Pelodiscus sinensis: one gene and its partners. The protein of the gene in region 2 purifies or fractionates together with the protein of the main gene of each other region. This does not show direct contact. Links are inferred from orthologs where the notes say so. Each region holds a gene or a part of one and is shown on either strand. Other genes may lie near its edges. The genes, in order: ARID4A, SAP30, SAP130 and MTA2.

Region 1 (7,121 bases), on a different chromosome or scaffold from region 2:
ATATTGCACACAGCCTTATCTTTCTTTACAACAAGATTTGACAGTGCAAGTAAAATGAGTGGTGAAGATTTTTCACATTTAATTATTTTCATGTCCCCAGTTTGCAAGAATGTACTAATAGTCATTAAATACTGAAATGCTATTTAAAATAGCAACTTTAAAAAAAAGAATTTAAATAACTGATGATGAAAAGTGAATAAGAACAAACAATAGTTATGGTTTGTTGCACTATTTTGCAGCATACACAGATCACTATGGCCCAAAGAAATACATCAGTTTTGCCAGTAAATGTCAGTGTATTTGGCTGGCTAAAAAGCTTACATCACACCGAGTTTATGGGTAAATTTTTTGCTCAAAGAATTCTGACCCTCAATTTTATCAGTCTGACGACTGTCTCAGGAATATCTGTTCAATAACCTCAAAGAGAACTGAAGCATATGTTTACAAATAGAGAAAGAAACATTAACATAAGGATGAATATCAACTTAATACATTCATATTGTATTGTTTACAGAAAAGCAATATTTCAATTGGAATGGAAGCTGCACCTCAGACAGCTGCAATTTCAAAATACATACAATAACCAAAACCTTTAGATTTCTGGTTTTTCTGTGAGGAAGAAAAAAAAGAAAAAAAAAGGCAGTTCATGGTGTGCTCCACATCAGATTTTCTGAAGGGAAAAACAGCAGCAACAGATCCTCAGAAAAGTTTGCTATAACCTTTCAAACAAGTATCAAATGTAATTTTTGTTCCTTGCAAGGTCTTTGTTAAGATTTATTTTTCTAAAAAAGATATGCAAGCTTACAATTTTAAGAACATCTGTCTGTACCTGAACATTATTATTGTACATTTTATTTCTACATTACTATGTTTAAAAAAAAACAGTCACAGTAAAAAACAATCAAGAAATGAAGAAATGCAATGACATATTTTGTGTTCAAATTATTTTTGCTCATCTCTGCATACAAGAAGTGCTTCCCTCCATGTGACTGATCTTGCAACTGGTAAGCTGTCTTTGCACTGTAAAAACTGAAACTGCTAAGGAAGGATAAAAACTGTGGTTTTGCAAACTCACAAAAGCTATAGCCAACACAGGAAGCATTTAAAAATAGTACTCCAAGTGACAAGTCAAAGCCATCTTATGTGTCCAGAGTAGTGTTACCACAGAGGTGAGGGATTGGGATTAGGTGCCCTGCACTGAGAGTGAAGAAATGGGATTTCATTCCATTCAACATGTGTGGATTTCCACAGCCAACTTTTACTTTGCTGTTGTTCAATGAAGATGCAGTGATTAAAAATACAGTGGCTGGTTCAAGTAGAAGAGACAGAGCACAAATGCTTCCCCCTCCTCCTCCATCCAAGGACCTAGACTTACCTTCATCTTTGAAGGTTATTTGAGGGATTCCAGCTCAAAGATATCTTCTGACCCTAATTATACTGAAAAAAACCTAGAAAACAAGAGAAGGAAGATGATCAGACACGTCTGCCAGCCTACAAAATTATTAAAAGGAAACAGCTTGATCTTAGGAAAGCTGCAATTCAGCTACAAGCATATGGTAGATTATTAAACACACTCTTCCACATTGTATACACACACCTCCCTCCACCCTAGGAGCACACCCACCCCTTACATCCCTAAAGGAATTCCCTCCACAGGAAGCCTCTGAGCCCCACTTGCTGCCCTGCATGTGCAGCTGGAGGGGATAGCAAGAAGTGCTGAAAAGGGGTCCTTGTTGGGAACAAATGGGCCCTTGGAGGTCTGGGCAAGGAGCCGCTACTACCTCCTTTTCCGTCCCGCTTCGGCTGCCTCCTGCTGCTCCTCAGCCCCTCCGTGTGTCAGGACAAGTCGCCATTGCTCCCTCCGCCTTTGCACCATGTCAGGCAAGAAGAGGCTCCACACACACGCAACGCAGGCAAAAATAATATTACTACTACTATTCCACTGGAGCTGTAAGCGGCTCGCAGCCCAGCTGCTGGGACAAGGGCAGCTCCTGCGCAGCAGAGACAAGGCCCTTGGCCGCCTTCTTCCCCTCTCAACTTTCTCAAGCACAAGAGGAGAGATTACTCAGGAAGGACCTGACCCTCTCCTCTCCACCCCGCCTCCTCCGGCTATAAACGGGGACCGAGGAGTTAGACACCCCCCCACACACACCCGCTGCCTCCCCGACTACCCTCCAGACCCCCCCCCCACACACACACACCTCCTCACAGCCCCTGCCTCCCAGCTACCGCTCGAGCCCCCCTCCCCGCCTCCCGCAAATACCCTTCGACCCAAGACACGACCCAAACCCCGCCGCTGCCGGGCCCCCCTCCGAGCACCCGCTCCCCGGGAGCGAGGGGCGGGGGCGTTCCGGCGGGGGGGAAGCGAGGTCCCTGGGAGCCGAGCAGGGGAGAGCCGAGAGGGGAACCTGCCGAGCCCACCCCGCGCCCGGAGGGGCTGAGGGGGGCGTTCCCCGTCCTCGGGGGATGGGGCGCCCCCGTGCTCCGGGCCGAGAAGGGGGGGTCCTCGGCCAGAGAGGGGAGGAATCGCCGGGCGAGCGGGGGTGGAAGTTCGGCGGGGGAAGGGAGTCCCCGCTCCCCCGGGGGGGGGGCCTCCTCCGTGACTGAGTGAGGGGGGCGTCGATCCGCCGGGTGAGGGGTCCCCGCTCTGCCTCCCCCGGGACGGCAGCAGAGTTGCGGCTGCGGAGCCGCTCGCTGCCCCTTCCCCCCCCCCCTACCTTTAAACTCGGAGCCAAGTCGGGATCTGCCGCGAGCCCGGCCCGGCCCCCAGCCCCGCTCGCGCCAGGCGCCTCAGAGACAGCGGTGGGCAGAGGCAGCGGCCGCTCGGCTCCGCTCCGCTCCACCCCCCTTCCAGCCCGGACTCGCACCGACTCACCAGCGATCAGCCAAATAACAAGCTGTTGAGCAGTAGCTGCCTTGCTCGAACTCCCATTGGCCCTTCGTGACGCCCAGGGGCTCTGCCCCGCCCGGATTGGGCGCCGCGCACAGCCCCCTCCCATTGGTCACAGGGTAACGGCGAGAGCCGATTGGTCAAAAGCCGACGCAGGTAAAGCCACGGAGACTTTTGATTGGTGAATCCGGGGGACTCGACTCAATTGGAAATTTCCGAAGTGAAGTAATCGTTTGCCTCACGCTGATTGGTGCAAACTGGATCCGGATGTAGCTCTGCCTTGCACGATTGGCCAGCGTGAGGGCCAGGAAGAGAGGCGGGGCGATGTGATTGGTGCGGACTGCTTCATAGGAATGCAACGGGGGCGAGGCGGAGCTAGAAGCCTGCAGTAGCGACGGTTGCATAGTTGCGTACCGCGCATGCGCCGCGGTGGGCCTCTCGGGCGCCATTTTGTACGATGTTCTTTCCCATTTTAGGCGGGGAGGACGGGAGCGGGAGTGGTCTCTGCGCTCTCTGGGGGGGAGGCCTGCCCTCGTCCCAAGGGCGAGGGGGCGGCCGGGGCTCCGTGGGACTTACGGCTGCAGACCGTCTTCTCTCCCTTCGGCCGGCGAAGTGGCTGGACTAGTAGCGAGGGGGGAGCCTCTTCCCTTCCTCAGCGCGGTGATGGCGCAGCAGCTGGGGGAGGGGGAAGCTCGGCGAGGCCGACCCCGGAAGTGAAGGGACCTCTGAGGAGCCGCTGGCGGCGGCAGCAGAGGAGGAGCTCGGTGAGAGGGGAGGTGGCAGCCGCCCGCGGTGCTGGCTGGGCCCAGGAGGCGGCGGAGTAAGCCGGTCGGCGCTGCCCCGTGGGGCTTGGGGTTCGCCGCCCCGGCGGGGAGCGAGGCCTGTCGGGCCGCGGCGCCGCTGGAGCGCGCGGGCAGCCCCCGGCTGCGCTTCCAGGAGCGCGTGGACGCTGAAAGCTGCAGCTCGTCACCTCGACGTGGGGCGGGAGCGCCCCAGCGGCAGCCGGCGCGCGGCTCCGAGAGGGTGGGTAGAGCTCGGAGGAGCTGCCTGTCCCGCGGGCATAGTGGTGGTTTGGGAGCTCGCCAGCTGCTGGTTTCAGACGCAGCCGCGTTATTGCACGTGCTGTCGGCCAGTTTCCTACGTGTTGCCCTTGGAACCAGGGCACCAGGGCGGTTGCGTGTGCGCTGTCTCAGTCATACTTATGGTAGGGAGGGGAAGCGTGTTTTGCCTCCGAGGCCGTTTTTCTTGGGGCTGAGAGCTTTTGACCAGTCCAAAGGCAGCTCAGTTTCCTCTACACTAAATAGCAAGCGGTGCGGCTTTTCATGTTTACGTCATTGACTGTTGTTAAAGGGTAGGGACAGGGAAGCTACCCTAATTTGGTGTTGCTGCCAGGAGTATTGGGGTGGGGGTTGTTCCTGGGATAAGGAACTGAACTGACATCTTAGGCTGCCTTTACACTGGTACTTTCATTGTTAAAGCTCTTGTTGCTTAGAAGTGTGAAACTTCACTCTGAACAAAGTTTTAATGATGGAAAAACGTCTTCATGTGGGCACCATTTCATTGGTGGTGGCAGCATTTTCTGCTACAAAACTACCACCCGTTGTTGGAAGTGGTTTTATTGTGTCAGTAGGAGAGGGCTCTCAAATGATAAAAAGCAGCTGTACAGTGCAGCTTACCATGGTTCTGCTGCAGTGGCACAGCCATGTTATCCTGAGAAGCACAGAGCAGACAGCTTAGTTGTACTAATACTCTTTAGATGGCAATGAAATGAAAGGTTGTATTTTCTGCACCCTTAAGTCAAGTTTGGAGTGAATGTTGTCATAAACTGGTTATTTGGAACACTTTCATTTCCTTGGAAACACCAGAATTATTTTGACTCGTTTTATTAGGGGTCACTAACACTTATTGTGTACCAGGAAACTAGATCCATATAACTCTGTTGCTCAGGGGTGTGAAAATCCATATCCTTGGAGCAGTGTTGTTACACCAACTTGACCCATTGTATAGACATGGGAGAATTCTCTTGTCAGCCTAGCTACTGCATCTTGAAGTGGATTACCTATGCTGAAGGGAGAACCTTTTGCTTTGACAGTAGTCATCCACACACCTCATTTTGAACTGAAAGTACACAATCAGCAGCCAAAACAAAAAAACACCATACAGTACTATGCTCTGTATTAAACATAAACTACTAAAGGGAATGTGTAATAAAAAAATACAAAGAGAACTCTTCATTTAAATTAAGGTAGTTAAAAGTAGCATTCCATCTGCATATTACACTTTCAAAGCTGTATTAATCAGTTGTAAACTTTTGAAAACACAAACATTTTATTCAGAGTTAGCAACAACATACATTCCTGAGGCATTTGTAACATTCTAGTGTAGTTCTGTAACTTGTTTTTGGCTGCTGTCCATGTAGTCAATGAACTTGCAAAATGCTGTGTGCATGTGTATACCTGTTAAGCTACCTGAATCAATTCATATTTAATTCCAACAAAGTAGATTTTTTTAAAAATAAACTTACTTTACTTTTAAATGTGTAAAGCATTTTATGGCTTCATATATTAACTTTAATAGATAAAGCACTAAACTGAAAGTCAAGCTATAATGTGAAGTGCTGTCATCACTAAACCTGCTTGAGAGCTAAATGTAATTTTATTAAATGTTTTGCATAATAAACTTGACTTGAGAACACTCCTTCAACCTTCTGTCTAGTGCTTTAGACTCCCATCTTGCAGTGGGCTCTGGTTGCAGGAGTTCACCATGCAGAGTTTATAGAAAGATCAGAGTTCCAGAGATGACCATTATATGCTGAATGCTGCCAGAGGGGCTTGATACCTAATAACCAGCTTTCAAGTCTGTTCTAAAGATTTTGGTTTGTATTGGATCTGAAGCATTAGCAAGACCTGACAAAGGAAAAGTTTCCTAGTTAGGCAGTGTTGCATAGTTTGGATATGCTTTAGGTACTTCAGTAGGGGATAAAAGCTGGTTTTCCCTAGCATCATCGCTGTCATGGAGGGGAACAGGAGGCAATGAGGCTCTGCCCTTTCAATGTAGGAAGAGCCACCTGGCACAGCAGTGTTAACTCCTGGGGGTGGTGCCAGCTGGGATGCCAGGCTTCTCCTACACTTAAACTGCAGAACTGCAGTGGGAGTAGTGAGCACCCTCCCCCTTATCTACTAACAGTTCTGCAGGCTGAATGTCATTGTTTTAAAATCTGACCATTTGGGATAAGGGACTTTGGTTTTTGTCACTTTTCACTTACCTCAGGACAATTTGTTCCCCTCCTCACTTTCTAAAAATGAGGCAAAGAACTGAGAAATCAAATTAGGACAAATTTCTGAAGCTTTCCTTTAGTTACTCCTTGGAGCTTTGCTGTCTTGGACAATTACACAATATGCTTTCTTTTTTATTGAACTGATTATGGACTCTATAGCTATATTAGCAGAGACTTCTATAAGCAATGCCACTGTTTAAATTATTTTTTTAGATTTCCACTTTTGTGTTCAGGCCTAACCCCCCCCCCTCCCCCCCCCCCCCACACACACATTTTAGGCCATCCTACTTAAAAGACTTTCTGGTGGGTTCTACAATTTGTTTCTGTATGTTTTTATTTTAAAGCAAAAAACCCACTTTGCTATATAACTGCAGATCTTTCAAATCTTTGCCACTTCTGAATGCATGGAGGTATGTTGCATGAATTGAGGAAAACAGTCTACTACATAATTCTGTATGCAAGCTATGTAAACTAGTGATGAGGGCCAATATTGGTGCTTGTAAGATGTGTTCTAAAAGCTTGAGCTTTTAAAAATTATAATGTCTTTGCATCTAATCTTGATTCTTACTACAAATTGTTTAATCTGGTAGAAATGAACTTGTGCCTCATGAAGAAAATTTTTTGATTCAATTAAAATATGTACCGCACATACCATGAATTTCAGAAGTCTTCTGTTGCTTGATTTGGATGTAAACATACTCACTTGTGTATTGTAACAGCTGGTGCTGAGCAACTGCATTTCCTGTTACCCGGGGTTGGATTTGTTAGTGTTCAAAATATCTAAAACAGAGGCCACACCTACTTGGCGGCTTAAATTCTGGCATCCACCTTTGAGGGACATGGTTTGTCTTTATTTTCTAGTTTTTCTTAGATAAGAAGCAAACCAATACTATAAAACTGCTTCACACAATTTCAGAGCTAAAATTATTTCACTGGGATGGCAGAAGAGAAATC
Region 2 (7,146 bases):
ACATATGCTTGCAGCTGTCATCATTCCTGTGTTGTCTTCTTTCTAGCTATACTCTCGCCTTGTTCCTGTCCCACTTCAGTCTGCTGAGGCTCTGCTCCCTTGGATGGTTCCTGATTCAGGCTCTGATCCTTGACTAATTTCCTGGTTCCTATTTCTGACTCTAGTCACTAAGCTGGGCTCTAACTTTAACCAGGTCAAACTGCCCACATACTGGTCTCTGATATGGCTTTTCTTCAAAACATGGTCATTAAGATCATCTTAACTTTCTTCAAACTTCATCAAAGAAATCCTGTATTTTTGTAACTGAAATTCTGTCAGCTTACCCATCTCACTTTCAAACTCTGACCCCATATATTAGCTAGGGATGTGAATGGGTAACCACTTAATCAGTTACCTGATAAGCACCCTTATCAGGTGATGCTTACTGAGTACCAATTACTGCAGCCCAGCAGTATTAGCTTCACCCTGAGATGCCAGTGCCAGTCCCCTACCTCTTAGAACCCCCCCCCCCCCCCCACCTCCAGAGCTCTCCAGCACTAGCTCCACCCCCATCACCTACCCCTGCATTGCCTCCCAACCACCAGATGAGCACTGCTGCCCAGGTCATAGCTGTTCTAAGGCTGCCGTGCCAGGCTCCATGTGGCCCTGCCTACCATGCAGCAAACTGCTCTTCTGCATCCAGGAGACCCTGCCCGTCCAGTGCTGGTTGGCTGAAAGGCAGGGCAGGATACACTTCTCCCAACAGCCACTGTGGGGGAGGTGAGGCACTGGGTAGTATACTCCAGCCCTGGCCTTCAGAGCTGCTATGGACTGCCAGTTGGGAACCACTGTACTAGAGTTACATAGCTTCCTATTAACTCTGACATATCCCTTCTATATAATATGTCTGCATGCCCAATTGAATTTCAGTTGTTATATAACTGCAATAATTTCAAATTCCAGTCTAGGTAGGACCTTAACCATATTCTGTAATATTAAGTTATATAATCATATTAAAATTCCATGTGTACTACAGACTGGAACAGTGCAACTAGACTGGCATGATTTTGCGCAAAAGCGGCCACTTTTGCGCAAAATCTTGCCGCCTGTCTACACTGGCCACGAGTATTTGCGCAAGAACACTGACTTTGTAATGTACAAAATCAGTGGTTCTTGCGCAAATACTCCAACGTTCCTGCTCAGGGATAAGCCCTCTTGCGCAAGTATTCTTGCGCAAGGGGGCCAGTGTAGACAGCCACGTTAATTTCTTGCGCAAGAAAGCCCGATGGCTAAAATGGCCATCGGAGCTTTCTTGCACAAGAGAGCATCTGCATTGGCACAGATGCTTTTGCGCAAAAACAAATCTTTTGCGTAAAGGCACATGCCAGTACAGACGCTCTCTTGTGCAAATACTTTTAACAGAAAAACTTTTCAGTTAAAAGTATTTGAGCAAAATTATGCCAGTCTAGATGCAGCCGAACTGTTATAATCCAGTTTCCTGACTCAGAATCCTAGGCTACATCTATACTGGCAGCTTCTTGCACAAGAACATTTGTTCTTGTGCAAAAACTTGCTGGGTATCTACACTGCACACGCGTTATTGCGCAAGTAAATTTACAGTACAGTGTCAGAAAACAGGGCTTCTTCCAGAAGAGTTATTCCTCTTCCCACAAGGACTAAGCCCTCTTGCGCAAGAGGGCAGTGTAGACAGGCAACATGAATTTCTTGCACAAGAAACCCCTATGGCTAAAATGGCCATCAGAGCTTTCTTGAGCAAAAAAGCGTCCACACTGCCATAGATGCTTTTGCGCAAAAGCACATGCCAGTGTAGACACGTTCTTGTGGAAGACTTTTTGCACAAGAACTCTTCCACAAAACAGTTCTTCCGCAAGAAGCTGCCAGTGTAGACGTAGCCCTGGGCTACGTCTACACTGGCATGATTTCCGCAAAAGAGTTCTTGCGCAAAAACTCTTACAGAAGAGAACGTCAACACCAGCATGTGTCTTTGCGCAAGAGATGTGCTTTTGCGCAAGAGCATCCGTGCCAGTGTAGACGCCCTCTTGTGCAAAAAAGCTCCGATGGCCATTTTAACCATAGGGCTTTCTTGCACATGAAATTCATGTTGCCTGTCTCCACTGGCCTCTTGTGCAAGAACAGTTGTGCAAGAGGGCTTATTCCTGAGTGGGAGTATCATAGGTCTTGAGCAAGCAGCACTGATTTCATACATTAGGTCAGTGTTCTTGCGCAAGAACTCACAGCCAGTATAGACAGGCAGCAAGTTTTTGTGCAAAAGCGGTTACTTTTGCGCAAGACTGTGCCAATGTAGAGACAGCCCTAGCGTATACAGAACATGTCTTCTCTGATCACCCCTTGATCTGGCACTCCACCTGTTTTGATTCAGTAACTATTGAATATGCTGTAATTAATACAGCTGAATGAATGTTTCAATGACCTAGTTGCATTTAACTATTTGATTCCCAATTTCACAGGGCTTTAAAATAAAAGCTATATCTGAGAGGAAACTCATTACCATGGACTTTGCAAACACATCAAGAAAAATAGGTCAAAGTTTGGCTCTTCATTCTATCCCTCTACCAGGGAGAGCTGAACTGTTGGATGCTTATGTTTATTAACCTTATGTACTTTTGCTATACAGTTTAGAAACTAGGTTTTGAACAAGAGCTTTCACCCTTTGTGCTCATTACCTCCATTTTAATTGTTCCTCCTGTTGAAGGCAGGTCTGAGTTAGAGTATTGTCAAGCATGATAGAGAGGTCATTTACAATTTAATTGTAAGTTCTGGAAACTAGTGATAGGGAAAACTGTTACAGCAAAATAAATGGTCCTACCACCAGGAAGGGAGATACAGGAAAAATGCTGGCTAATAAATGAACTAAGTTTGTTACTACCAAAGCCTTTTTTAATAAAATATTTACTATAAAAACATTAACTCTTATTCTTCATCCTGTATGGTGTTATCTAATTGCTTTCCAATGTTTATATATCTAAAGCTATCAACAACACAAAGAGCAAGGACCAATTATTCTCAGTAAACACAGGCAAAAATCCCAGGCTAAGTTTAGAGCTGTCAGCCAGCTCTCATTTGAAGAGGTGCCACCCCAAGTTCCTTGTACCACTCCCGTCCGAACCACCCGTCTGCAGTTGAGGGGTGAACGGGACATGTAGTCCAGCCTTTATCCCAAAAGAAAAGAGTCACAAAAGGAGAGGAAAATAAGATTTTGCAGAAACGCCTAAAAGCCTGCCACGGCGAGCTAGCTCTGTGCGCCATGGCAGGCAGGCCTGGGGGGAAACGCGCTCACCAACGGCAAGCCACGCAGCTGCAACAACACGCTCCGAGCCCTCCGGCTTGCAGCTGCTTATCCTGGCACGCAGCGCCCTTGTGGGAGACAAAACCCCACCGGTGGTAAACTAGGGGCAGGGGAACCGCTTTTCTCGCGTCCCTGGACGCGCGCAGCAAGGGAGCTTTGCAGCCCGCCCAGGCGTCCGCGCGCAAACATGGCCGAGGCGAGGGGGAGAGGCGACAACGCTGCCTGGTGGTACCAGGCGTTTCCCCGCCTCTCACGCAAGGCCTCGCTCGCTCCCCCAATATTCTGCCTCGCAGCATCTCCCCCCGGCCTGTCAGACCAACCCAAGGGGGCAGAGATGGGGCGGGCTGGGCCGAGCCGCCTTGGCAGCGGCGCTGAGGGATATGGGCGGGGCTGGGGCGAGCGGCTCCGCTTCAGCTTCCAAACAGGCGCATTTCAAATCTCAACGGCCGCTCGGACCGTCCTTTGAGCGAGAAGTGGGCCTAGCGCAGCGCGGAGCCGCCTCCTGCGGTCCCCGCCCCCTCGCGAGGGAGACCCAGGAGGAGGCTGAGACGCGGCAGTTCACTGGCGAAGAGCTCAGTCACCCCCTTTCCCCCCGCCCCCATCACATTGCAGAGGGGAGGGGCGGGCTTACAAACGTCTACAGCGGCCCTCCAGGCCCGCAAGCCCGGCTCGCGCGGTGCATTTCAGGGGCTGTAGTTTTTCAGCCCTCCCCGCCCTTGCCGACGCTGCAATGATAGAAACTACAGCGCCCATGAGCCCCTTGAGGCGGGAGGCCGCATGCGCATCGCGGAGCGGAGCCGCAGGCTGGGTGCTGCTGTTGTTACATAGGAAACAGCTGAAAAGTCTCCACATGACAGAGGGGGAAGGAGGAAGCGGGGTGACCCGGGGGACGGACGTGGCTTTTGCAGAGTGAGGCGCTTGGCCGCCTTTGGGAGCCCCCCAACAGCCTAGGGCCCCGAGTGGAGGGGGCCGAGCAGCGATCTCGCTGTGCCCCTTGAAGGAGCCCTTGTGTGCCCTTGGGGGAGGGGCTGTGCCCCCTGTTGCGGGGCTCTGTCTGCCGGGGGCCACGGGGACGGAGGTGACCCTCAGGCCGGGAGGAGGATCGTGCCCCCTGCAGCGACGCTGCCTGTCGGGCCGATTGCTGATGGGGCAGGTTTAAATCCCTCCCTTGCAGCCAAGCGCACAGACAGCGGGGAAGTTTGATTCAGCCCAGGCGGCGAGGACGGATCCTGCTCCTCTGCCGGACAAAGGGGCAGCGCAGGCGGGTGAGGAGCCCGGGCGGGTCGGCGATTTCTTCCGCCGGGATAGGGACGCTGCTGGGGCCATGAACGGGTTCGCCCCCGAGGAGGTGACCCAGAGAGGAGGGGAGGCCGCTGCCGCTACCACCGTCGTTGCTGCTGTTGTGGCCAATGCAGCCGCCACCGTGGAGGTGCCGGCGCCGGGATTAGGTCCCGGCCCTGCCGCAGGTGCCGCCGCCGCCGCCGGCTCCGCGGGGCCCCCTGGCGCTGCGGGCCCTGGGGCCGGGCAGCTGTGCTGCTTGCGAGAGGAAGGAGAGAGGTGCAGCCGGGCCGCCGGCAACGCCAGCTTCAGCAAGAGGATCCAGAAGAGCATCTCGCAGAAGAAGGTGAAGATCGAGCTGGACAAGAGTGTAAGTGAGGACTGGAAACCCGCCGCCGCCGCTGTGCGCCCCTGGGGCAGAGACAGGGTGTCCCGGGGCGGGCGTGAGTGGCAGTCAGGGCCGGGCCGGCCGGGGAATGCGCCCCTCTCGCATTAGGGCAGGCAGTGACGGCTGCTCCTGCGGGGTCACCGGCCCGAACGCCCCCAAGGGAACGAGCCCAGCCGCTGGTAGGAGCTCCCCCCAGGTGTGGGATCGGGAAGCGACTTGCGGGTCCTGTTGTCTCTCTTCACGCGCCGCGTTGCAGCTGTCCGGGAGCACAGCACAATCCCTCGCTCGCCCCTCCCCGGAGCCCCACTCCGGCCTTAAGAGTCTTTCCCGCACAGGCTTAAACTCCCTCCCTCCCCTTCCCCCCCGTGAGTGTGAGACTTTAGGCAGCAGCTTCTTTGCTAAATCGTTTGAGGTTTGCCCTTGGTGCGGTCAGCTGGAAGAGTGAAGCTTAAACTGCTTCTGTGCAGTGATGGGGGATAGGAGACTCCTCTCATCTTCCCTTCTGCTCCCTCCGGAAAAATCAGGGTGGCAGTCCGGAGAGAGGCCGTTTGTCCGGCTGCCCCCGTTTGCTGGGAAAGCTGGAGGCTGCACTCCCCTCTCCCCCGGCCGCCCCTCCAAGCTGTTCCAGAGCAGGGACTCCATGCGTGTTTGTGTGGCTGACTCTAGTGAGAGCAGCACACTTGGCCGCTCCGCCGCCTGTTGTAATGCTGCGCGTCTCTCTTGGCCACCGTGTCTTCCGTTTGGCAGCCATCAGGCTCTTCGTACTGCTCTCTACGAGAAATCGCCACGAGCGTGTGTTACCGTGTGCAGGCAACACGAGCTCCTGGCTCCCTTCCTTGGTGTGTGCTGAGAAATAAATACCCGTTGGTAGCAGATACGTTTCGAAGATCGGGAGCAGTGTTATCTGCAGAGCAAATGTCTGCCGGCTTCCTTCTCTAATGAATACTTGTTTCCTCAGTCAGAAATGCACAAGTATTTGCCAAGGCGATCTATTTTTACTTCACAGAGCAGAAATGTTAGGAGATGCTGACACAAAGAAAGGTTCTAATACACTTATTGCACTTACCACCCACAAGAGATTGAGTAAACTCATGCTGATTGGAGAAAAATGGTTGCTAATTTATATTTATGCTTTTGTTGGCTGTTGTGAGCTTTCTCTTGAATCATGGTTTATGAGAGAGCTGGTGAAGTAAACTTAAAGCCTATTGTAAATGGGCAAAAAAGCTCTTCTGCATTAACAAAAGGAAAAGCTTAGGCCCCCAATTTTTTCTGATTATATGTTGAATTAAATTGCATTTAGGTTTTTCATTTGTTTTTATCATCCCAAATTTAACTTTCTAAGTGCTTGATTGCCATCCTCCTCCCCACAACCTGTGCACCCACAGCTCCAATCATCATGTGAGATACTGATGTACAGTCAGTAGCCCTATGTGTATGTGTATATTTTCTCTGTAAAAGAAATTCACAGATTTTTAAAGATACTTTGTCACCGCTACAGGCCTTTCCTCTCAAAATGAGCTTGATTCCTACAAAAAGGAAAATTTTAAAACTAGACATACACATACTTTATTTACAATGCGTTTTCTTGGATGGTGGAAGCAAAACCAAGGAAGAGAGTTGTGAAGTGAGATAGCAGTTCATTTAAAATAATTGCAAAGTAATTTTAGCATCCTATTTCCTGTATTCTGATGAGTAACAAGAGAGCTGTACTTGGCTCTTTCTACAGCCTGTTAATACCAACTTTGAATTGGTTCACTGCAGTAGTACAATGATAGGAGGGATTTTTTAAGCCAAATACGTGTGGTAACTTTCAGCATACCAAATTTTAAGTATGGGTTCTGGTAGAAACAGCTTTCTTAAAGTCATAGGTAATGTCACCAGAGCTTCTTGATGGATCCACTTCATGATAAATTACTACAAGTATAATTTACATTATCATGTATTTCCTGGATGTGGATTTGTATTTAAAACATGCATTGCTACATTTTTAGGCAAGACATCTTTACATTTGTGACTTCCACAAAAACTTAATTCAGAGTGTGCGGAACAGAAGAAAGAGAAAAGGCAGTGATGATGATGGTGACTCACCAGTGCAAGACATCGACACTCCAGAGGTAGCTGAACAGTTGTCCTAGAAGTTGTCATATAAAGCTTGTTCTTAATTGCCACCAAG
Region 3 (7,113 bases), on a different chromosome or scaffold from region 2:
CTGAAAAGGAAAGTGGCACTGCTGGAGTCAGATGTGCTGGTGGAGCTGTCACTGTAACGGCAGCACCAGATTGGACAGGATGGTGTTGTGTCAACATCTGAACCTGTGGGTAAGGCCGAACAACCACCGGTTCCTGTTTCTCTTCACGAGACTGTAGAGAGCCACTGGGGCCCATGTGCTCTCTGGGACCAATTTCTGACTCTCGATTAGATTCATCACTCACTGGTGAGGAAAGAAAAAAGGAACTCTAAGGAAAAGGATACAAATGGAAAAGAAGTATGCACTCATTGCCAACAAGCCCTCAAATTGAGTGCAAAATGTACACATACAAAGGCAGTTTGTTTAAAACCTCCTGCACAAGAGACATTACTAATCCTGGTATAATATAAACCTGCTTGAAAAACAAAAGTCTCCAGAAGTCATTAATCCTCTTGCAAAGTGTGCTCTGTATTCCTCTTTGAGCCGTAAGGATTATCTCCACACATCATGGTCTAACACAAGTCACTGACAAGACACAATCATCCTTCTTAAAATAAACCTCTAACTGTAGCCTCTTTTTAATCTAATTCATAGTAACAAAATAAACTGATTGAGACCATCCGATCCAACAATGACTAAGGCCTCATGGCATGTATGCAATTTTTTTTTTATTAAATAATTCACTAAATGCAAGACTGTCTAACTACTTTCTCCAATTAAAAATAAAAATAAATCATCAAAGCAAAATCTACAAAAACAGAACACAAGCTGCCCCATTGGACAGTGATAATTAGACTAAAATTGGAATTTCTACCTTATTTCCACCTCATAAATTCTTAAGAGCACAGGAAGCTCAGCTGTAAACTGTGTTTTAAACACGATTATTAGGGCAATCAAAACCTACCTAGAATTTGTTTTATACTTACTTCTCTCAGAATCTCCTACCATAATTATGAATTTGAATTCTAAAAACATGCTTCCTTCCATCTTACTCTATAAGATCATATTGACTTACTGCTGGAGGCATCAGTAATGTGGCAACTCACTACTCAGGCCCTGATCCTGCAATGAGCTCCAGGTCCCCGGGGCAGGCATCTGGTAGCACAGATCTCATTGCAGAATTGGGACCTAAGACATCAAACACCAATCAAGAGTTATGGAGATAATGAAACAGTAACAGGTATTTCTAACACGGGCTTGAAAATGATCAGATACATACCCTCATTTAGCAATTAATTAAAGGAATATTGACAAACCATTTTAATCCACTTTCTGACAATATCCCTTTAATACATCAGCTAATCATGCACTTCTATTTATAGGTGAACACAGCCTATGTTCATGGGTGTATAGTTTGTTCTGAAGCCACTCCCTAGTTTCCACCTACCTGTGATGTCTTTGCAATTCTCCCCTCCCCAACAGAAAGGCCAATTAATATCTTGTACAACAACTATACTTTACTTTTTAGATGATTTCTAAACAGTCAAAATGTTTTTGCTAACATTGTTTTTCTAAGGCAACTTGAATATTCCCCGCCCACACTTATCCGGTACAACATGTGGGGTGTGAAAAAAGAGCTTACTACAATTCTTCAAATTAACATACCTATTTATATCAGCATTTGAGTCATGTCTGTCTTGGATGTGTTTAAACATCCAATCATCTTAATACAGTTCTGCAGAGCATGCAGCAAACGGTCTCAAACTTCCTCAGAATGAAATTGTTTTGGTAGGAAAAATGAATCTTCCATAGCTGTTTTACCTGTGGTTGTTGGGTTTATCAGCCCTGTAGATCCACTGTTTGAAATTGGGGGTGGTGCTTGTCCTAGTCCTGCAGGAGGGGCTCCAGAACGGGGAAACTGCTGAGAACTCATTTCCACCTGCGCAATGTGATGAAAATTGTAAGCAACATAATCCTGGCAATATGTTCAGCCTAAGACGCTCACACTTGAAGAGATGTGATCGCTCTCCTATCATGCAGGGAATGAGGTGACAATTTGTAACATAGCCCCATGGAACAAGGGGCATGCATTTTAATGGGAAAAGCTGGTTTGAAAGCAGACACGTTATCACTTGGTAAAGGAAGGTGGAAAGCAGGGCCCAACGCTCCCACAGTCTGATACCCGGCAGGGCGGTGCTGCTCTGGGTTGTGGATGACAGAGACCAGACGTGGAAGGGAGAGGGATGTTTCTTCAGGGCGCACTGCAGGGACCAGGGCAGCGCGCTAGGCACGGCACAGCATCACCCTGAGGCTGTGCCACAGCAACCAGACCGCCTCCTGCAATGGGCACCAGCTCCTCAGGTATCCCCCCCCCGCGCTCGCGCGCGAAGTACCCACTTCCCCCCCCTCGCACCAAGAGCCCCATAAACCGGCTACTAGCCCCTTCGCTGATTGGGTGGCATAAAGGAGACTACGTCATAGCCCTGTACCAATCCAAGGTCAAGCTGGGCCACGAGCCAATCGAACGCAGATTTAGGCTCGTGCGCTCAACCAATCGAGAGCCCAGCCCACTAGTGACCTCATGAGAGAGCTAGCCAATAGGATAAGAACGCACTGGCCAATAGGGAGCAATTGTCCACGCCAAGTCCCAACCCACCTCGCTGTGAGGGACGCGCAGAGCCCGGATGTTCACAAGCAATAAAGCGCAACGGCCACCAACAAGCCATTGGCACCTATGGGGCGGCTGGAAGAAGCGCCCCGCCCCCGGAGAAGTAGCCCCTCGCTCCTAGCCCTTGAGAAACCACCGTCGGGTTTCCTCCCCTCCGTCCAGCCTCCCGCGATCCTCTGCCGCCGGGTCTGATCCGGAGCCCGCCTCCGAGACCCCCCCCCTTTTTGGCCCGCCCGCCCAAGCGGCACGCGGAGCCGTCCCTGACCTGGGCTACCTGCTGTCCCGTGCGCGCGCTGGGGCCTCGCGCAGCCGCCTGCGAATCCGTTTCTCCCGCTGACACCAATGCTCGGACTCAAGCTCTCTCCTTCCACCGCCGCAGCCACCCTCCGCCTGATTGGCTCCGGTTGGTGCCGCCCACAACGCGTGACCCCGCCCAATCTGGGTTGAAACGGCGGCATCGAAAGGGCTTCTGGGAAAAGTAGTTTAACCCGAGAGCGCTTCAGGGATAATCTCGCCGGCACGCGGAAGAAGGCGGGGCCAGACCTTGAGCAGCGATTGGCCAAGACAGCCGCGATTCTGGGCCTAAAGGGAAATATCATGCGGATCGGGAGGAAGAGGAGAACAAGGTAATCTCGCGAGATCGGGGTTGGGGGGCGGAGTTTAGCGTGGCAGGGTTCGTGTGTCGCTGAGCCTGTTGCTCTGGCCTGCAGCTCGAGCGCGTGCGGTGTCTCCCCCGGCGGCACGAGCGGCGAGCTCTTGCTCTGCCCGGCCGGTGCAGCGAGCAGAACGCTACTCCACATTTGCGAGTTTGGGTGCACTGAGCGTGCGCACCCGAACTGAGCAAACTCAGTGGCCTTGCTGGAGCCGCTGCCCTCTCTGCCCCCAGGGCTTGTAGGATTTGCGCCCTCCTCTTTGGAGGGGTTTAACATGATTATTGGGGGCGAATTTCAACGGGGTGTGGGTCATGGTCTGATCAGGGGGCAAAAATTTACTGGCTGGGGGGATCAAGCTGCTTTTTTTAGCGGCAGAAGAGGAGCGAAATTTGAAAAATCGGGGGTGGGGGGGTAGCCGTGATTAACCCCGGGCGGGGGGAACAGTGCCAGACCCTGTGCGTGGACAAAACCCCCATTTCGGGAGGGGGAGAGGTAGGAACAGTCACCCTGCGGGACGAGCCACCTGATGTCCTTGTAAATATCGTTTTGCCAGGGGTGCAAAGTCTTTTTTTTTTTTTCTTTTTTTCTTTTCCCTGGATGCTGCCTGTCAGCCCCGAGGGGAGGAAGGGGGGGGGCTCCTGGGCTTGAGTTCTTAAAGGCACCGGCTTCCCAATTCCTAGATGGTCAATGCTTCCTCTGTATGTGTACAAGTGTGAAATATTCTACAGACAGTTCCTGTCTCAAACTCTGCCTCTTGCTTTTGGAGTATTTAATAGTTTTCTCTTAGTTTCTATGTCTATCTGAAGTCACTGCATCTCCTTTCTCGTGTACTGTGCTGATGTGCTAAAGTCCCTCCCATCCACACCCTCTCCTGTACTGCAATCTCCTGACCCATGGCAGAGCCCACACCCGTCCCCCAAACTCCCCTTAGCATGCACCCCTCCTGCACCCAAACTCCATCCCAGATCCTGAGCACCAAACATGGCCAAGTATCAGAGGAATCACAAAAGTTTCACTTGGCCATGTGGGCGAGGAGTCCTGTGGCACCTTATAGACGAACTGAAGATAGTGCCACAGGACTCCTCAACGATTTTTCAGATTAAGACTAACACGGCTACCCCTCCGATACTTGGCCATGTTTGGTGCTCAGGATCTGGGATGGAGTTTGGGTGCAGGAGGGGTGCATTTCTCATGTGGAATTTCAGATCAATCAGATTCTGAAGCCAGTGCTGCTAACATCCTCATTCTTCAGTATCTTACCAATGATAGTAATGATCCTATTGACATCCAAAACACTAAAACTGCCTAGCTGCTTTGTGACCTCCATCAAGGAAAAACATTCCCTTTGCTCACACCTCTGTTTATGTTACAAGTATTCTCCTATCTAAGCCTTGGTGAAACTTTTGTTCATAGTGAGTTTTATACTGGAGAAGCTTCATTGAGAGAGCAACACCATCTCCTTTCTGATCGTTTTGTGGCTTCTGCTGTGCTTTCCTTCAACCATCTGGACACATAGATACCTTCACCATCTGGGAACCCTGATCAGTGTACAGCTCCGCAGAGTGGTGAGTTCCCTCTCTCTCTTTCTCATTCCCCCACCTCAAACTACCTCTGTAAGCATAGTTGGTGCAGTGTGGCATTGCTGTTAAACACAGCATGCAGAGTCCATGATGCGTCACACTGAGAGTGATGATTACACAATACTCTGAGTTGTTCTGTGTTAGTGGGTGGCAGTGTCTGTGTGTGTTTCAAAGTTTGGAATATAACAACCTTGAGTAACCTAGTTCCTGCAATAGAGCTACAGTGTGGTGGTGAATTATCAACGTTGAAAAATATGTTCCCTATGAGACCATAAGTAACTACAAGCAGGACAATGATATAATTGCTAAGCTCACCCCATTCCTATATCTGTAACAGGGACCAATTCTGTGCACAACCTCAGAGCCATTACAGTGATATACAATTTACTCGATAATCTAGTTACAATATATTAATTTTAACAATTAAAATTTCTGTTAAATGATTGTTTAATTGCAGTACTGAGTATCAAGTGATACTCATATGTATATGTTCTAGGTGTTTCTTTTAATTCACATCCTTAATACTTTTTCCACAGTATCTGTTCCCCATATATTTTCAACAAGCAAAAAGTTTCTTCTACTACACACATCATTATGGAAGGTACGTTTACTTGTCCAATATGCATAAAAAAGTGTTTTATTGTGCATTCATTTGCTTTATGAACCATGAGTTTTAGGAGTTAGGAGGCAGCAGTCACTAGGGTAGCTACTGGAGCAATGGGAGGAGACATGGAAGCAGAGGGGAAAAAGTTGAAGTTTATAATACATGCATTGCTAACAGGGAGGATATTTTATTAATAACGTATTAGCAATTACTGTTCTTATTATTAGTCGGAATTTATTAACTTGGGGTGTTCAGTCCCTTTTTTGTCTGTCAAGTAGTGTTTTCAATTATTTGTCAAGCAATGACTATAATCAAGGATCTAGGTGATATCAATCTCAAAAAACATTAGATCATCATTGATGGAATACATCCTTCTTTGGTAACACATACATTCAGGAGAATTATGCATGTTCCTTAAATTAATTTGTCTGTTGTCACTGGCTTGACAATCAGGCCTTGTTAATATTGTTTTACGTTGCTTATATGTACGCAATGTAGATCTCATATTTTCTACTTGAACTGACTGTTATATGGATTGCTTTTCCCATTTTCCAATTCACTAGCTGTTTCCTGTTCTGAACAATTCTCAGGGAAATGTTTTGAGGACAACATTAAAAATGTTTTGGCATACATAACGAGTAACACATATCCTGAAGGAATGAATAAGGCTGGACGATTGAACCTTCGAAGATTTGCTAGTAGATTCTCTTTGGAAGGCAAGGAATCCTTTTTTTAATAGAATAATCACATTACAATGGATGATACATGCTGTACAGGATTGTACTGCTGTCCCAACACTGGGATTATTTGGAATGTTTACCTTACCTTCACTGTTACTGTGATTGTCAGCATTACCTTCATTCACAGTTCATTTAAAAATTATATTGCTATCTATGCATACATGAAAAATATTGGTCAGTTACCTTATAAATTAGTAAGAATTATAATTCTTTGAAAATTAAAATTATCACTGTTCTTCATGTCTTATGAATATTCTCCTTTGTGATGCAAGGCACCAACAGCAGTCACTATCTGGTCAGTGAGCAATGATTTCTAATTTACAAAACAAATAAATAATCATAATCATACACTGAAAGTCACACCTTGTACTCCCACAATTACGAAGTATACAGTGTATAGATTTCCTTGCTATGTGTGTCTTGTATAATTTTTCAATACCAATGAGTGAACAGGAAATGAGATACAGGGGAAGATGCTTAACAGAGATGTAACATTGGTTGTTGCAGCAGGCAATCACCTTACTCATCCTCTTTGATCCATGTTCTATATTCAACAGATGGCACATTGTACCATTCAGCCAAAGGAAGAAAGGTTATCGTTGTGCATACCATGAAAGAAGCACGGACACTTTTTGAACGGTATCATGACAGTTTCATGGGTGGACATGAAGGAATATTCAAAACTAGGAATATCATGACTTCAAAATACTATTGGCCAGGGATGATGAGAGACATTGTCGATTAGGTATGTAAAGATTTGACAGTAATTCAGAAAGAAAGACATTGACTATTGAAATACAATTTCATGATTTATAAAATTAAGAAAATATATATTCGCTGTGGAAAGGTGAACTCTGTTCCCTTGGAGTACTAATGATCTAAGGAAAAAGTAATGTGATTGTGTTCTTCAATCTAAACTAGGTTGTGCGATGTCCGACTTGCCAGAAAC
Region 4 (8,000 bases), on a different chromosome or scaffold from region 2:
GGGTCAATTGGCTCCAATCCAAAGTGTGGGGCAGGGTAGAATCTGCATGCGACGGGTGAGATTGAGCAAAGGGGATTCACGGGATTGTGGGAGGTAGGGGTGGGGCCAGAATGTGCCAGTGTTGGAGGGGGTTGGGCAGAGAGATCTGTTGGGCAGGGGATCGCTTGGGCTTGGACATGGGGATTTGCCTGTGGGATCCGCTGGCGAGGGGTGGGAGGAAGGTGTTTAGATGTTATGAGAGATCTGCAGTGGGTGAGGGTGGGGCATCCGTGGGGGTGGGCGGGGAGTGTTTGGGTGTTGATGGGGGGCTGTAGTGGATGGGGTGGGAATCTTCAGAGGTGTGTGAAGAAGATTTGGAGGGGTGAGGGGTCTATAGTGGGTGGGAGTGGACAGGGAGTTTTGGAGTGGTTGGTGAGGGAGCAGCAGTGGCTGTGGAGGAGGATCTGCAGGGGTGGGCAGAGGGTATTTGAGGGGATCTCTGAGGTGAGGATGGGGGAATTACAGGGGCAGGCAGAGGGTGTTTGGAGGTGCTATGGGGTGTATGGGGGCCTGGTTGGGGGACTATAGAAATCAGGGTGGGAGTTCACAGACAGCAGGGGTGTATTGGAGGCATGGCAGGAGGCCCTGGAAGGGTATGTGCAGGAGGGGAAGGGGTCTATAGGAGCCATGTGGGGAGGATCTGTGACTCCAGATGAATCAGCCCCTTGTGCCCCCAGATCCCGGAGCAGTTTGGGGCTGTGCGCACCATCGCTGAGGGCCCCGGGGACGAGCTGCTGGTTGGGACTACGCGCAACGCGCTGCTCAGGGGCAGCCTGGGCACTGGCTTCACCCCCATTGTCCAGGTGCGTGGGGAGCTAGATTCTGGGCAGCTACAGAAACTGCACGGCCATGGGATGGCTTGGGAAAGAGGGGCCTTGGGAATAGTATGGGGGTGCAGCAGAGTGGTGGGCTGGGGAAAGCAGAAGGGGTCTGATGGGATGGGGAGCAGCATGCAGTGGGGTGAGCTAGGCCCCTGTCTGCCTCTATCAGGTTCTTCCTGGTTGCAGGGTCATACGGACGAGCTGTGGGGCTTGGCCACCCACCCCTCACGGAGCCTTTTCCTCACCTGCGGGCATGACAGGCAGGTCTGCATGTGGGACAGCGGGGAGCATACAGCGGCCTGGAGCCTCACCCTGGAGGTATGGCCCAGAGGGGATGGGGGAGCTCGTGGAGGTACCGCCCGGAGGGGAAAGGGGAACCCATGGCAGCCTGGAGCCATACCCTAGACATACCACCTGGGGTGGATGGGGGGGCTTACGGTGGCCTTGAGTGTCACCTGGAGGTACTGCCTGGGGTGGGGGAGGGATGCAAGGCCTGGAGCCTCACCTGGAGGTACCACCTGAGGGGATGGAGCGTGGGGGAAGAGGGTCAATGACCTTACAGTGTATCTCTCCCCCTCTAGGAGACTGGGCTCTGTGCTGATTTCCACCCCAGTGGCAGGGTGGTGGCCGTGGGACTCAACACTGGACGGTAACTCCCCACCACCCCCCATTACTCCCTTTCTGGCCCCTTAGGGGTGCTTGGCAGCCCTTCCCACCCCATTGGAATCACACCCAGCGAACGGCGGATGCTGGTGGCCCTGCAAGCAACACCGTGAGATTCGGGCTGTGGCCCCCATTTCCTGAGTCTGGCCCTCCAGGGATTAAGGGGTCACTGAGTTTGCCCCCAAGGCCGGACCTCCTCTCTGTTGCCCCTGTTCCCTGGGGTGGGGTCGGTCCTCTGCGTGCCTCTGCATGTTTGGCACCTTGGGAGCTCTGACCCTGCCCTGTGCCTCCAGGTGGATGGTGCTGGACACAGAGACACGGCAGGTGCTGTCATGGGGCTCGGATGGGAACGAGCAGCTCTCGGTGGTGCGGTATTCGCCAGGTCAGACCCTCATGCCTCCCTGCCCCGCTCCCCTCCCCAGCAGGCCCATTCTGACTAGATTCCTCCCCCACTGCAGCGCTGGCTCCCTCCAGCCCCCATTTTCCTCATGTTGCTGAGACAGCAAGTTCCTCCCATTCTCCCCCATTCCTGCACCCCCTCCACTGCCCCCCCTTTTGCACACAGATGGCCCCATCCCACCCCTCTTTCCCCCCCCTGCAGATGGTGAGTTCCTGGCCATTGGCTCCCATGACAACTTCATCTACATCTACAGCGTGGGGGAGGGGGAGCGCAAGTACAGCCGCTTCGGTCGCTGCACGGTGAGGCGCTGCTGGCTGTAGGGGGGGCAAGAAGAGAGGGTTGTCAGAAGGAGGCTGGGAGTGATAGGGGCTACTGGGGCAAGGGTAAGGGAGGGAAGAGAAGAGAAGAGAGTTTCAGGGGGGCTGAGAATGGGGGAAGTACTGGGAGCCGGGGGTGTGTGATTCCAAGCCCTTGGGTTGTGCATCCTTGGGAGGCACCTCAGGCTGGGGAGGGGATTCTTGAGTACCTGGCTTTAAAGTCCCATTTTCTTCCCTCTTGCTCCAGGGACACTCCAGCTTCATCACCCACCTGGACTGGTCCAAGGACAGCAAGTTCATCATGTCCAACTCAGGAGACTACGAGATCCTCTACTGTGAGTGCAGGGAAGGCATGTACTCAGGAGCCCCTCACCCTGGTGCCGGGGTGTACGTCCTCCTCATTGTGCCTGGGCCCATCCATAAGCATCTGTCATGGGGGAGATAATTCTGGTGCCCTGAGACAAGGCTGTGCGTGGTCCCCTGGTGCCTAGGCTAGGAGTTGCACCTTCATGTGGCAGTGCCGGTCACTGCAGCTGACCCTAACCCTGCATGTCTCTGCCTCCTTTGCAGGGGATGTGGCTGGCGGCTGCAAGCTGCTGAGGAATCGCTTTGAGAGCCGTGACCGGGAGTGGGCGTCATACACCTGTGTGCTGGGCTTTCATGTTTTTGGTGAGGGTTGGGAACCATAGGGTGTGTAGGGAGAGGATGAGTGTCGGGAACGGGAAAGGAGAAAAGTGTAGCCGGGAGGGAAGGAACCCAGGGGTTCCAAGAGCCACAGTCAGGAAGAGGCACTAACAGCTAGTGCATATCCTGTATCTGCTCCGCAGGTGTGTGGCCGGACGGCTCAGATGGCACAGACATCAACTCCCTGTGCCGCTCCCACAATGAGCGTGTTGTCGCTGTGGCAGACGACTTCTGCAAGGTGCATCTGTTCCAGTACCCCTGCGCCAGGGCCAAGGTGAGACTGGCAGGGATAGGGGAGTTTAAGCCCTGAACCCATGCCAAAATGAGAGGAGGCACACAAGGGGAAGGATTAACTAGGGATTTTGTTTGCTCTTCTGCTCATTCACTGGGTATTGCCCTGAGAGTTTGGGGACCAGAGATGCCCAGAGGGTCTTTGACATGGGGACATCCCAGGGGATCAGGAAGTCTCTATGGGATCTTGGGCAGGGGAATCTCTGTCTGAGTTTGGGGCAGAATAGGGGGGTCTCATCTGGGTATCACGGTGGTTCTGGGAGGTCCTGGGTGTAGTGGCAGAGCCCAAGGGCCTGGACCAGAGGTTAGGGAACAGCCTGGAGGTGATGGGATTTCATCAGTAGCCCCTACCCCTGACCCCACTCCTTGTTTTCTCTTGCAGGCGCCCAGCCACATGTATGGGGGCCATGGGAGCCATGTGACTAACGTGCGCTTTACCAATGATGACAGCTATCTGATCTCACTGGGGGGCAAGGACACCAGCATCTTCCAGTGGCGAGTGCTGGGGGGCAGCCTCACCCATAGCTGCTCGCTCTCTTCTGCTTCCCTATCTTCCCAGGAGGCAGGAGGCTGTGTCTGAGCCGGAGATGCTACAGGGACCAAGCCTCATTGCCTGTAGGCCTGGACAGCCCTGGCACATGAATCTCAGTGAGCGAGGCCCAGCCAGAGGGTTCCCTACCCCCTGGCACTAACACATGCTAATAATGCGACCTGATTCATTAACACTGGGGAAAAGGCCTAAATTCTGCTCAGGGCCTGGTACAGGTCAGAGTGGTGAGGCAGGGCCAAGGGCCTGTTGGCAGCTCCCACCACTGGGGCCCAGGGGCTCATCTGGGAGGGTGTTGGGATTGGGACTCTTGCTTTGGAGGCAAGGGATGGGTCTGGCAGGGGAACTCATGGGTCAGGGAACTGCAGGATGTGTTAATGGAGGCAGCATGGCCTTAGGGTTGGGGCTGTCCATACCCACCCTTGTTCCCCATGGTGGAGCAGTAGCCCCATTCCCAGAATGTGTATGTGTGATGGGACCTGTCCACCTGGGGGCACTCTCCTCTCTAGGGGCCTGAGGGCTGCCCCCAAACCTGGGACCAAGCCTGGAGAAGCAGGACACTGCTCTCCCCACTTTGTTTACATTCCCAGCTGCGCCAGAGCAGCAAGACGCTGAACACTGTGAGAGGCAGCAATAAAGCCTTGGCATCAGGGGCTGGGCTCCCGTCTCTTTCCTTCCAGGGGTGGGGAGCAAGCAAATAACAGTGGTAGGGGGCAGCTGGACAGAAGGTTGTATGCAGGGGCCACAGCAGTGGGGTGGGGAGAGGAAGGCATGCAAGGGGCAGCAGGGTGTGGGGCTAGTCTGCATTAGGATGGCACAAAGACCACATTTAACAGCCTCAGAATGGGGGTGAGGGGAAGCAAATGAGGCTTTTGTTCCGAGGGGGAAACGAGAGATTTAGTTCCCTAAATCCAGTGGAATACAGAGAAAACATTTCCACCTCTCTTTTGGGACACTGGGATTAGTGCAGTGGTGCTCCACTCCAGAGTTGGCTGCATCTCACCTCGGTGTAGGACTCCGCTGCAGGTGGTGAATTCTTGGGTAAATGAGTGGCTATTTTGGTCTAAACATGTCTAAAACTGCACCTGTATGTATGGAAATAATTCTAGTGCAGTTGAGGCTGTTGGGAATTGCCCCTTGAACGGGGGGCGGGGCAACCTTGAGCCCTTCGGAGAAGAAAGGGTTAAAAACCCAGGGCTTGAAGCTCCCTCCGAAAAGGCCCGAGCAGGGCAGACCGTGTCCGGAAATAACCGAAAGTTTCAGTTTCCGGATTTACCCGACGTCCTGCTCGGCGCCGGCCATCTGGAGTCACTGTCCGGAAGGACCCGATCGCCGAGAGGCTTTAGTCGACGGTGCCCGAAGCTTCGCCAGGTGCTTTCGGAAGTACCCGAACGGTTCCGGAGAAACTCGATCTCACGCGGAACATCCCGAAGCGCTGCCGGAGTCTCATCGGGTATTTCCGAGTCTTGCCGATCCTTTTCCGGAAACCACCGAAGCGCTACCGGAGTCGCATCGGGATATTTCCGAGTCTTGCCGATCCTTTTCCGGAAACCACCGAAGCGCTGCCGGAGTCGCCCGAAGTCTCCTGGTCCCGGCCTTGCGTGAGGAGGAGGAGGCGGCGGCGCGGGAGGAGATGAAGAGCGGCCGGGAGCGGGGCTAACGTGGGCCCGAGCGGAGCCGGACGCAGACGCCCCCGCCCTTCCCCCCATCGCGCGACGGGGCCATGGCGGCCAATATGTACCGGGTGGGGGGTGAGTCTCGGGCCGGCGCTGCCCCGGGCTGGGACGGAGCTGGGCAAAGGCGGGTGGACCCGGGAGGGGGAGGGGTCAGTGCGGGACCGAGCTGGGGGGCAGCGTGGGGCCGGACCGGACCGAGCCGAACCGGAGGGGAGCAGTGCGGGGCCGGACCGAGCGGGGAGGTGGAGGGGTAGTGCGGGGCCGGCCGGACTGAGCGTGGGGGGGGGGAGAGGAAGCAGAGCGGGGGGAGCAGTGCGGGGCCGGACTGAGTGGGGGGGGGCGGGGGTAGTGCGGAGCCGGCCGGACTGAGCGCGGGGGGAGAGGAAGCAGTGCGGGGCTGCGGGGGGGGGTAGTGCGGGGCCGGCCGGACTGAGCGCGGGGGGAGAGGAAGCAGTGCGGGGCTGCGGGGGGGGGTAGTGCGGGGCCGGCCGGACTGAGCGGGGGGGGAGGAAGCAAAGCGGGGGGAGCAGTGCGGGGCCGGACTGAGTGGGGGGGGGGAAGCAGAGCGGGGCTGGAACGGAGGGGAGTGGGGAGGGTAGTGCGGGACCGGACTGGACTGGACCGAGCGGGGGTGGGGGAGGAGCAGTGCAGGACCGGACCGAGCGGAGGGAGCTGGGCGGTGAGCCGGGGGAGCGCGTTCGTGCTTGGGGAGTCAGCAGGACACGGCGGTGCTGACGCTGGTGTGGGGGCTCCCGGGGCCTGACCGAGCCGGGGGGGTGTCAGTGGCTCGGCCGGAGGTGTGTCTGTGGAGGGCAGTGGGGTCAGACAGGTTGGTGTGTCTCGCGCTCCACCGGATTTTTTTTGGGGGGGAGGGGCTGTCCTGTCCTGCAGGGCTTATGGGCTGTGTGTGTGTGTGGGGGGGGGGTGATACCCCCTTAGTTCCTTAGAGGAAGGTGCCGTCCCTCCCCCCCCACATGCTGCACCCCTGTGTGGATAGTGTAGGGGAGTGGTGAGCAGTGGGTTTGTTATGTGGGGACTGGGAGGATTGTTAGAATGTGGGTGATCTAGGGTAGTGAGATGGCTTCATCTGGTATGGGGAGTCCACGGGCTCTGGAGGCCTGGGGCAGTTGGCATCAGGTTGTGGGGGGGGGGGGTAGGTGGACAATGGCAGTATGGGATAATGGGCTGGTTATGTGAGGGCAGGAGAATGTGGTGTAGGGAGCTGGTTACATGGTACGAAGAAGTTCAGAGGCTCTGGGGAAATGGAGCACTTGAGGGTCTGGCTGGTGGGTTGGGTTTGTTATTTGGGAATGAGGTAAGTTGAGGGGGCAACTGGCAGGTTATGTGGTGGAGGAAGTCCTTTGGGGAAAGCATGTTTGGTTACATAGGGAGGGGTAAGGGAATTCATCAGGTGCAAGGCCCACAGGGGACAAGGGTCGGCTGGCTCGATGGAGTATAAGATTTGGAGGGCTGTGGTTATGGCTGCTGGGGTGGGGAGCAATTAGAGAATGAGGGTCAGTGAGGTGTTTATTTGTTGTCTGCAGTTTGCTTGTAGGGTGTAAGTGGGGCAGTTGACCAAGTGGGTTATCAGGTGTTTGGGGGCAGTCTGGTTGTGGGTAGGCTATTGCACAGGCTGTGGATGAGGCAGTTTGGGGGCATGAGTTGGGGAGATTGGAGGGCAGGTTGAGGTGTCTGTAGTTCTGGGACAGTTGTGGGGTTTAAAGGCTGTGGGAAAGAGAGGCCTGGCTGGGGATGTGCCTGGTCTTGGGGAGGGTGGGTTATGTGTGGGGCAGTTTGAGAGTCTGTGGGGAATGGTGTGTGTGGAACAGTTGGGGAGTGTGCTGGGAGGTGGAGGTAGTTGTGGGACATCTCGTTTTACTGCAATTGGTGGTGGTGGCTTGTGTGGAGTTTGCTTGAGGAGGCCGGGGTGGTGTGTCTGATTTAGGGTGCTTGAGGGGGAGGGATTTCTACCATGACCCTTCCCTGGCTCAAACTGGGCATTTGACCATGTGCTGAGAAGCCCATGAGCATTTGGTGCTGCACTTTGGGTGTGGCACTTCAGGGGAAGGGAGCAAGAAGGTTGGCCCCTTTCAGTGGGGTGGGGTTTTTCTCAGGGTCTCTATTTTATAATGTCCTCCCCACTTCCCACTCTGGGGTGTGTCCCATGAGGGGGTATGATCTTGCACTGAGATCACCATACGTTTGGGTTACGTTGGAAGGTGGGAGGCTGTCTGCCTGTCCTGGCAATGCCATGCCCACGCCAGTACCTGGCTGTTATGCTGCCTGGGCATGTGGCTCAGCTATCCCTCAAGCCTGGTAAATGCTGCCCATGCTTAGCTATTGATGTTCCAGGCTGGAACCTGTTACCAGGCATTGGCAGTACTGCTGTTAAACCGGACCCTGTCCGAGCAGATGGTTGGCAGGTGGTGATGGAAAGGCTCTGGGTTCTAATGGTGTAGGGTTTGGGCTTGGGCTTGGCCCCGGCCCTGGGGAGCTGCAGCCTCGCAATGTTGCCCAAGAATGCAAATGGCTGTGGACAAGAGGAGTGCATTGGTGACAGGG

The links.
Region 1: the proteins of SAP30 (region 2) and ARID4A purify together in Homo sapiens (affinity purification with mass spectrometry; 5 studies listed by BioGRID and IntAct, with this or other methods). This does not show direct contact. The link is inferred for Pelodiscus sinensis from reciprocal best matches to the Homo sapiens genes SAP30 and ARID4A.
Region 3: the proteins of SAP30 (region 2) and SAP130 purify together in Homo sapiens (affinity purification with mass spectrometry; 4 studies listed by BioGRID and IntAct, with this or other methods). This does not show direct contact. The link is inferred for Pelodiscus sinensis from reciprocal best matches to the Homo sapiens genes SAP30 and SAP130.
Region 4: the proteins of SAP30 (region 2) and MTA2 purify together in Homo sapiens (affinity purification with mass spectrometry; 3 studies listed by BioGRID, with this or other methods). This does not show direct contact. The link is inferred for Pelodiscus sinensis from reciprocal best matches to the Homo sapiens genes SAP30 and MTA2.

The regions. Positions count from the first base shown.
Region 1 is NC_134714.1:11,393,509-11,400,629, reverse strand, and holds the start of ARID4A (AT-rich interactive domain-containing protein 4A), read right to left. Parts: upstream 3,015-7,121; 5' UTR 2,876-3,014; intron 2,870-2,875; exon of another isoform or gene 2,718-2,869; intron 2,169-2,717; exon of another isoform or gene 1,782-2,168; intron 1,449-1,781; 5' UTR 1,382-1,448; coding exon 1,376-1,381; intron 1-1,375.
Region 2 is NC_134715.1:68,330,396-68,337,541, forward strand, and holds the start of SAP30 (histone deacetylase complex subunit SAP30), read left to right. Parts: upstream 1-4,144; 5' UTR 4,145-4,631; coding exon 4,632-4,955; intron 4,956-6,964; coding exon 6,965-7,087; intron 7,088-7,146. UniProt on the Homo sapiens protein: Involved in the functional recruitment of the Sin3-histone deacetylase complex (HDAC) to a specific subset of N-CoR corepressor complexes. Capable of transcription repression by N-CoR.
Region 3 is NC_134720.1:5,765,075-5,772,187, forward strand, and holds the start of SAP130 (histone deacetylase complex subunit SAP130), read right to left. Parts: upstream 3,001-7,113; 5' UTR 2,862-3,000; exon of another isoform or gene 2,853-2,861; intron 1,859-2,852; 5' UTR 1,853-1,858; coding exon 1,741-1,852; intron 1,108-1,740; exon of another isoform or gene 996-1,107; coding exon of another isoform or gene 995-995; intron 223-994; coding exon 1-222. UniProt on the Homo sapiens protein: Acts as a transcriptional repressor. May function in the assembly and/or enzymatic activity of the mSin3A corepressor complex or in mediating interactions between the complex and other regulatory complexes.
Region 4 is NC_134721.1:36,551,830-36,559,829, reverse strand, and holds the start of MTA2 (metastasis-associated protein MTA2), read left to right. Parts: upstream 1-4,989; 5' UTR 4,990-5,485; coding exon 5,486-5,513; intron 5,514-8,000. Other genes in the region: EML3 (echinoderm microtubule-associated protein-like 3), read left to right, coding at 717-842, 1,047-1,178, 1,442-1,509, 1,817-1,905, 2,125-2,222, 2,488-2,575, 2,811-2,909, 3,068-3,198 and 1 more. UniProt on the Homo sapiens protein: May function as a transcriptional coregulator. Acts as a component of the histone deacetylase NuRD complex which participates in the remodeling of chromatin.